Linked DNA regions of Xenopus tropicalis. The protein of the gene in region 2 purifies or fractionates together with the protein of the main gene of each other region. This does not show direct contact. Links are inferred from orthologs where the notes say so. Each region holds a gene or a part of one and is shown on either strand. Other genes may lie near its edges.

Region 1 (4,363 bases), about 17 Mb from region 2:
TGGGTAGGGAACACTGGTACATGGGATGGGGTTAGGGAATACACTGGTACATGGGATGGGGCTAGGGAATACACTGGTACATGGGATGGGGCTAGGGAATACACTGGTACATGGGATGGGGTTAGGGAATACACTGGTACATGGGATGGGGCTAGGGAATACACTGGTACATGGGATGGGGCTAGGGAATACACTGGTACATGGGATGAGGCTAGGGAATACACTGGTACATGGGATGAGGCTAGGGAATACACTGGTACACGGGATGAGGCTAGGGAATACACTGGTACACGGGATGAGGCTAGGGAATACACTGGTACACGGGATGAGGCTAGGGAATACACTGGTACACGGGATGAGGCTAGGGAATACACTGGTACATGGGATGAGGCTAGGGAATACACTGGTACATGGGATGAGGCTAGGGAATACACTGGTACATGGGATGGGGCTAGGGAATACACTGGTACGTCATTACTGCAACACGTGCACCATTCCAGCTGATTAATCCCGGCTCAGAGTTCCCCATGAACAAGCTGTTGGAGTACACACACCTGAGCTAGGACACCTTGTACTCCAGTTACAGCTAAACTCCTTCCCAGGAACACAACCGTAGCCCAAAAGAGGCGAACAGAAGCTATTCTCTATTAAACACATGGATACTGTACTGTATCACCCCAATCGCTCCTACTCAATGTGGACTGACAGGTGGTATGGACATCGTGTGCTCACAAAGTCTGTCAGACGCGGGACTGTCGCACGTAAGACAGTAAAGCACCATGACTTCCTTGGCCATTACCTGCTCGAATTTTTCTAGCCTACCCGCGTCCTCCGATACAGCGCAACCCTTCTCAACCAGAGTCGACATACTGTGACGCACTCCTGTAAGTGCCGCGCTCTGACAAACACCAGCGACCCCAGGGCTACTTTAGCACACTGAAGCCTTCACACCAATCAGAGACGCCGCCGGCGTCCATGTGACGGGAGGTTGAGGAAGCAGCCCAGCTGCCATTTTTGACACTGGCGGAGTATTAATATTATTCATTGCGCTCAAAACTGCTTATGATTTGTATATGTTGGACCCATATTACACATAAGTAACTAGACGATGTAAATTTATTTTCCCTTTGAAAGTAGTGAAAGAGCCCACGTAGAACCTGGCCACCGCGGACTAGAATTTGTATTTCAGCATGCAATGTAAACGCAGAGTACCTTCAACATGGGAAGTGACGCCATTTGCTATTGTCGTGACGTCATCAGAACGGGCGAAAAGACAGTGAGAGTGCTGAGTGCAGCCGGGAAGCTGAAAGGACTCCCTCTCGCATCATGAACGCGCCACCAGCGTTTGAGTCTTTTCTACTGTTCGAGGGTGAAAAAAAGTAAGTATTTCATTCAGGCATATTGGCCTTTATACAGCCAATTAAAGAAACACCAAAACCAGCACAATATGACATAGCCATAGATGAAAGACTGCTGCACAAGTGTCACATTAACCCAGGACAGGCTCCCTGCTGGAAATTACAGTCAAGCTGCTATCATAGCCAAGGTGAAATGACAGTGAAATCCAGTGGATCGGTTTTACACAAACTGGCCCTGCTGTTGGCAATTAAAAATAAATTAACAGTAAATGAATTAATCTTTAGTATGTTATTAATGTACCTATTCCATGCAACTTTTCTCAAGGTGCCCACTTGTTGTTGTTTACTTTAAAGTATTAGCATTTTCATTCTGCCACTTTCCAGCTTGCAATTGAAAATGCTGTCTGGTTGTCTGGGCAACTTTAAAACATAATACCATCAGTTTTATTGTTATTTTAGATTTTATTCCATTTCAGACTATAAACCTGTGTATAAGAGGAATTGCATAACTCACTAAATCCTTTCTGTCTATTAGAGATTAGGTCCCGGTTATTACTGCAGACAAGGTTTGGCTTCAAATATTAGACTAGTTGAGATAACAATTAACCCCATATCATTATTATTATTATCATATATTATTTTCCATTCTTTAAATATCTGACCTTATTTATGGGTAACTGATGGATAGGAGTTGCTGATATGAGTATGGGGAAGATCAGTAGGGCACAAGTCTCCCAATAGGCTTCTCTGTTTCACATGCCACCTATCCATGGCCTTGGATGATGGCACTTTAGGTTTTATGGTGTCCACAGATAAAGCCTTTGGGTAGTGGGTTTCCAGGTTGGGTTTGTATCTTTTCAGTTAGGCCCACTCAGGTCTTAACTTGGAGGTGTAATTTTCTTGTTTTCCCCTCTTTATTTCATACAAGGTTACAGATATTTTATATATTAGTGACTCTGCCATAGTTCTATGCATATGGACTGGACATATCAACATTGGTGCTTTAATGTTACCCAAAGTTTGACACATCGCGGTGGAGCTGTACTTCTATGTCAAGTCTTATTTCTAAAGGTGGCCATACACGGGCCGACTATAGCTGCCGATATCGGTCCCTTGGACCGATTCGGCAGCTAATCGGCCCGTGTATGGGGAGAGCAGATCGGCCTGGCCGACCGATATCTGGCCTGAAATTGGCCAGATCTCGATCGGCCAGGTTAGAAAATCTGGTCGGATCGGGGACCGCATCGGCTCGTTGATGCGGTCCCCGATCCGACTGCCCCATTGCCTCCCACATAATCCGATCGTCTGGCCCCAGGGCCAAACGATCGGATTATTATTTTTTTTACCTAAATGGTCCCCAACGAGCCGATGCGGTCCCCGATCCGACCAGATTTTCTAACCTGGCCGATCGAGATCTGGCCAATTTCAGGCCAGATATCGGTCGGCCAGGCCGATCTGCTCTCCCCATACACGGGCCGATTAGCTGCCGAATCGGTCCAAGGGACCGATATCGGCAGCTATAGTCGGCCCGTGTATGGCCACCTTAACACACATAAGTGAATGGTTTAGGAAGGGAGGCTGATAAGTCATTGCACAGGAGCATATAATGGCCCACTCTACCGGTACCAATACACCAGGGAAGTGACAGGTGCTGCTCCTTCTTGACACTTCTTTTTATGTTGATTGCCAAATCAGACCATTTGCTCGACAGGTCAGTTCAACTTATAACCAAGTTGTCATTCAATGTATAGCTGCTTGTATTCTTTCTTTCTTACTGTTTTTATATGATCACATGTGATGATGATGTAGCTTGAATGCCTATATAACTAATAATCATTAATGTTTAGGATAACAATCACTAAGGATACCAAGGTACCTAATGCTTGTTTGTTTACAATCAACAAGGAAGATCATACAATTGGAAATATCATTAAGTCGTAAGTATTTATTTTTTTAACTTTATTTTAATTAAGGCAGAGTAGCACTATCAAACCAGCTGTTACAAATATCTCTAGTTACGGGGGGGGGGGGGGGGAGTTAAAAATGTCACACTTAGTGCTGTGGCACACGGGAAGATTAGTCACCCGCGACAAATCTCCCTTGTTGCGGGCTACTATTCTCCCCAATATGTAAATCGCCGGTGGGATGACATATGCAAAAATGAAAACTGCCAAAATAGATAGCAAAATAAAAAATATTTTCAATGTAGTTAATTAGGCAAAAATGTAATCTAGGGCTGGAGTGGGCAGATGTTTAACATAATGGCCAGAACTCTACTTCCTGCTTTACAGCTCTCTAAGCTTTTAGCTGTCAGTAGTCAATCAGTAAACAAAGGGAGCTTCTATGGCCATTCTGCTGAAAAATATAGCGTTCTACCTTTAAGATAAACATCTTTCATTCTGGGGATTTCCTTGTCCCTTAATATGATAAAGGGATAGTTTACCTTTACTTTTAATGTTAGTATGATGTAGACATTGACAATTTGCAATTGGTCTTTATTATCTATTTTTTATGTTTTTTGAGTTATTTATCTTTTTGTTCAGCAGCTCTCCAGTTTGGTATTTCTGCAGCTAATTGGTTGCTAGGGTCTTATCTACCATAGCAACCAGGCATTGGATTGAACAAAAGACCACAATGCGTGCATAGAAATATAAGTAATAGAAAGTAGCAATAATTTTAAAAATTGTAGCCTCAAAGAGAAGTAGTTTTTAACTGCCGGGGTAATTTTAAAGTTGCAAAAAGACAGAAGAGGAAGGCAATTAAAAATATAAAAAAATAAATAATGGAAACCAATTGTAAAGTTGCCAGGAATAGGGCATTATATGACATACTAAAAGTTAGAATGTATGACTTTGTAAACTTATTCTATTATAGACAGCTGCTGAAGGATCCTCAGGTGTTATTTGCAGGTTACAAAGTTCCACATCCTCTTGAGCATAAAATTATCATAAGAGTTCAGACAACACCAGACTACAGCCCCCAAGAGGCATTTACCAATGCAATCA
Region 2 (4,493 bases):
CAAAAGCTTGCAGCATTTGAATACTTATGAGCTGCATTCTACCAAACTTTATAGTAGTCAAAAAGCTGTTTAGAGACATGTCTATTTACATTTTTATTAGAAAAAAACATAATTTAGCAAACCCCTTCAAATATAACCCAAAAATGCTGTAGCACTAGACTCAAGAAAATGGAATACAGAAGCAGCGCCTTTTCTGGAAAGGTGAATTGTTCATAGGTCTAAAGCTTCTTCCTCCACGGTGCGTTTATCCTTCTCCACATATTTCTCCTGGAATGCCAGTGTCCTGGGATAGCATTGGTTAAGGAGAAACCTTGGTAGAATGAAGTGAAACTGATATGTAAGCAGAGAATTTCCCCCACCATTTATTTTACCACTTAATGCTTGTCTCTACAATTAAAGGAGACATATAACTTGAGCAGTTTGTCTAATTTAATTATGTATGTAAATTTGAAGGCATATATTTCAGTATACCTCGAAAAAAAAAAATTGTAGCAAATGGCTAATGGGGCTTAGTTGGAATAAAGTTAAAACAGCCAACAGAAATCACATAAATTAAATTACAGGCAATAGGAGCATTGGGAAAACATTCTGCTGTGTGACATATACTTCAAATAAGGTGACAGTTTTTTGGGGAAACAATGAAACAAACCCATCGTTCAGTTGAGCCTACACTCAACAGATCTCAATGTGACTTTGTTTTTTACATTTTAAAGTAAACATCATAAACTCATTCCTTACCCACCCTCCTTACCCCTCCTTATACAGCAGCTATGGAGAGAAGAACACAGGGAGAGATAGTGGACTGTTATGCATTTAGGGGTACACAGGAAAAACAACAGTGCATTATGATACCTAACTGTGCCCCCTCAATCTGTGCACTGAAGAATGTTCGCCAGTCCTACTACTAACCCCTACAATCATGTGAAGGATACGATGTGAATTGGAAATCTGCCCCCACTGCCACAGACATAAGATTCCCAAGTGATTGCTTTGTCTCCCCAAAGCAGAATCCACTGGCTTTATCCACAGCACTGAGAACTAACCGCAAGCTCTTCTCATCCTAGGAGAAAATGAAAGATTTCAGTGCAATGTACATATATTGTTTGTGTATATATTACCCCAGTTGGCCTATAGAAATAGCTAACTAAACCTTGCATGGCATTACTTTACAAATTTAAAGAACTTTTTAGTTACTGGTACATTTTCTCTCCCTCTTATCGGTACTAAGCATCATCAAAGATTGATTACCTTAATACTCAGTGGCATGAAGGTCACCAATCCATAATCCTGGATAACCTCTGCCAACTTCTCATGGAGACGTTTGTGGCGGCGGAAAAAGGGGTCAGATGTCAGTTGTTCAACCAAATAAGAAAGGTCCATGACCTCAGTGTAGTAGTCCAGGTTAAAGGCTGTGGATGGGAGCAGGTATGTCAGCAGCACTGCCATTTGCAAATACCAACTAGTAACAAACAAATTGTTCTAGTTAATTTTAATCAGTTTCTGTAAGCACTATATTTTAGTTGACTGTCTTTACGGTTTCACACATTCTTACCCAGGCGGCCATATTGTTCAATGAGATCCATCTTGGACAGGACATTGATGTGTGGCAGCTCCACATGAAGCATAGTGCTAAGTGAAGTACATAAAACAGAGATGAACTTCGCTGGATCTGTGCAGTAATGGGAGTCCACTAGGTGAACAGCACATAACTAGAAGGAGACACACAAAAAAAAAAAAACATTACAAGGCTGCTTTGCTGTAAGCACTTTATAAATAACAATAGCATAAAAAGTGACAATGACATCAACCAATGCAGTCTCCTTTATCACTGATGCACAAAAATGTAATAGGGCAACTAAGACAAATGGCCCACCTTCCTTCAGCAAGCATACAAGACACCAACAAGAAGAAACATGGACGCATAAGACTAATTTAACTTTCTCACAGCTAATAAATACACACTTATCTGAACAGAGCAAGAACATGAGCCTGTAAGATGCTAGGCCCATCTTCATGCTAAAACTAATTTTTCTAGCCGACACAATGTTACATTACCAAAGCAATTACATATTAAAGAAATGCCACAAAGGGTACACCCAAAAGTGCTGGTTCAAAGAGCTGTTGTGCAATAAAGATGTTCAGCAGCCTTGAATATCCAAGACAGTACCATTGGCCAAATACATCCAATATAGATAACTACAGTGCTACAGCTCCTAGCATTCCCTGCAAGCTTACAGCTGGCAGGCAGTTCTTGTGGCTCACTAAAAGCACAGAGAGGTTGGCCATCAGTTAAATAACTTTTACGCTTTATGTCCAATATATGTCACCCTTAGACTTTTAATCCCAAATGCACCAGCCTCTCACCCGAAGCCCCCAGGCACCCAGGCGCCGCAGAACGTCGGGCAGGGCCGGGTGATGTGTGTAGAGCTCTACTTGCCCTGGGCAGTCCAGCAGGAAGTATGTCCCCCGCAGGCCCTGCAGCCTGCCCCGCAACCAGTCCAAGTTCTCCTGCAGATACTCCATGCAGTACAGCAAAGCCCCGTTTGGTCCCAGCCGCAACTCCGACATCACTTCTTCAAGTCCAAGCAGTTCCCGCAGACTCACTGCTGCCCCGGGTTCGTCCTCTCCCGCTGGGTCCAGGTTAATGATGGCGGATTTGCGGCCCATCTGAGCAAGCAAAGCCTGCATTGCTCGCACATACGTGCTCTTTCCTGAGCCCGGGGGTCCAATAACCGCCTGTCCGAATCCAAGCAGCGGATACTTATCTGCTCCAGGATCCCACTTACAGTCTGTGTCGGCCATTGCAGCTGTCACGTGACCGGTGCGTGCGTGCGTGCGTGCGTAATACGTCCACACAGGCGTACATTACGTTCAGTCGGCTCTCACTGACCTGTCGTTTCATAGGGCTACAAGCTTGAGAGAAAGAGGGTTCGTAGCTGGCGACAATTTCCAGGGATAGCTTATAGTCGCCTTATTTTGTCCCTAGAAATGTCGCTAAATATAAAACTAACACTATAAAAGCATTTACATGAGCTTTTGGGTAAAAATCAGCGGTTTGTCTCTGTCCTCACTCTTTATGGAAAATGTTCTTAAAATGTCATAGAAGGGTAATATTCCTATTATAAATCTTAACACCAAGCATTAAGTTAGTGCATTTGTAGTACGACAGAAGTGCAAACAAATAGTGTCCCTGGACATTTTGTGATGCTGCTTAATTACATACAGAGCAACATCCATCAAGTTCAACCCCAGTGTATGTATGTATGTATAACTTTATTAATAAAGCGCTACTTATGTACGCAGTGCTGTACAGTAGAATACATAAATATAAACGGGTATTAAAATAGATAAATACAAAGTTTTATAATAAGCACAAATAAATACAAGATACAGTTGCAATAAGTTAAGAGTCAAAGACACAAGAGTATGGAGGTCCCTGCCCCGTAGAGCTTACAATCTATATGGGAGGGTAACTTACAGACACAAATAGGCAAATATAAGTGCTGTAGGTCACAGTGGGTGACACTACAATATAAGTGCTAGTTCGCAGGGGCTGTGCGAGTGCTCCAAAAGGTAGTCGTTTAGTTTGGTTTTAAAAATACTGAGGGAGGATTCTCTCCGGAGGAAATCAGGGAGGGCATTCCAAATGTAAGGGGCAGCAAGGCAGAAAGGTTTAAGGCGGGAAACCGCACTTGTAGTGGGGGGCGCAACCAAACGATTGCTCTGCGTGGAACGAAGGAGTCGACCAGGAACGTACAGAGACACAAGGGAAGAGATGTAGTGAGGAGCAGAGGAATGGAGGGCTTTGAAGGTTGCACGATATTCTTTGTTTAATAGGAAGTCACGATAAGGCCTTTAGCAGGGGAAGGGCCTGAACTCTCCTGGATGAGAGGAGGAGAATTCTGGCAGCAGAATTTAATATAGACTGTAGGGGGGAAAGATGGGAGTTAGGGAGGCTGGTTAATAGCAGGTTGCAGTAGTCCAGTCGTGACAGGATGAGAGCATGCATGAGCAGCTTAGCTGTTGCAGTAGAAAGAAAGGGACGGATTTTGGCAATATTGCGCAGGAAAAAGTGACAGGTTTTGATAGTGGTGTTAATATGGTCAGAGAAGGAGAGACAGGAGTCTCTTGTGTATTGACAATGGATCGAACGTGTACCATGTTGGCATTTTATGGTGTGAACAATTACGATCTGAAGTCAGTTATAATGGACTGTGAGCGCTTTCATCTGATCCGAATTTATACACCCTCATATATAAACTTAAAATTGCAATAGTCTTGGACATTATTCTTGCTCAAGAAATAGCCACTCCTAAAGGCATTCATAGAATCTGCCATCACAACCTTAACCAGCAGAGCATTTCACAACTTTACTGCCCATTTTCACTACTTCGACTACAGAGATGTGAACTTGTAACAGGCCTGGGGTTTAACTGGGGCATATGAAGTGCACTGCATACATTTATGGGTGTGGCTAAATGTGCAGGGACTCT

The links.
Region 1: the proteins of gpn2 (region 2) and polr2j purify together in Homo sapiens (affinity purification with mass spectrometry; 3 studies listed by BioGRID and IntAct, counting the BioPlex papers as one, with this or other methods). This does not show direct contact. The link is inferred for Xenopus tropicalis from reciprocal best matches to the Homo sapiens genes GPN2 and POLR2J.

Annotation. Positions count from the first base shown.
Region 1 is NC_030678.2:94,652,306-94,656,668, reverse strand, and holds the start of polr2j (DNA-directed RNA polymerase II subunit RPB11-a), read left to right. Parts: upstream 1-1,300; 5' UTR 1,301-1,326; coding exon 1,327-1,379; intron 1,380-3,205; coding exon 3,206-3,295; intron 3,296-4,232; coding exon 4,233-4,363. Other genes in the region: txlng (gamma-taxilin), read right to left, coding at 800-868. UniProt on the Homo sapiens protein: Core component of RNA polymerase II (Pol II), a DNA-dependent RNA polymerase which synthesizes mRNA precursors and many functional non-coding RNAs using the four ribonucleoside triphosphates as substrates.
Region 2 is NC_030678.2:77,754,979-77,759,471, forward strand, and holds gpn2 (GPN-loop GTPase 2), read right to left. Parts: upstream 2,823-4,493; 5' UTR 2,803-2,822; coding exon 2,365-2,802; intron 1,710-2,364; coding exon 1,553-1,709; intron 1,410-1,552; coding exon 1,249-1,409; intron 1,061-1,248; coding exon 905-1,060; 3' UTR 284-904; coding exon of another isoform or gene 211-283; 3' UTR 85-210; downstream 1-84. UniProt on the Homo sapiens protein: Small GTPase required for proper localization of RNA polymerase II and III (RNAPII and RNAPIII). May act at an RNAP assembly step prior to nuclear import.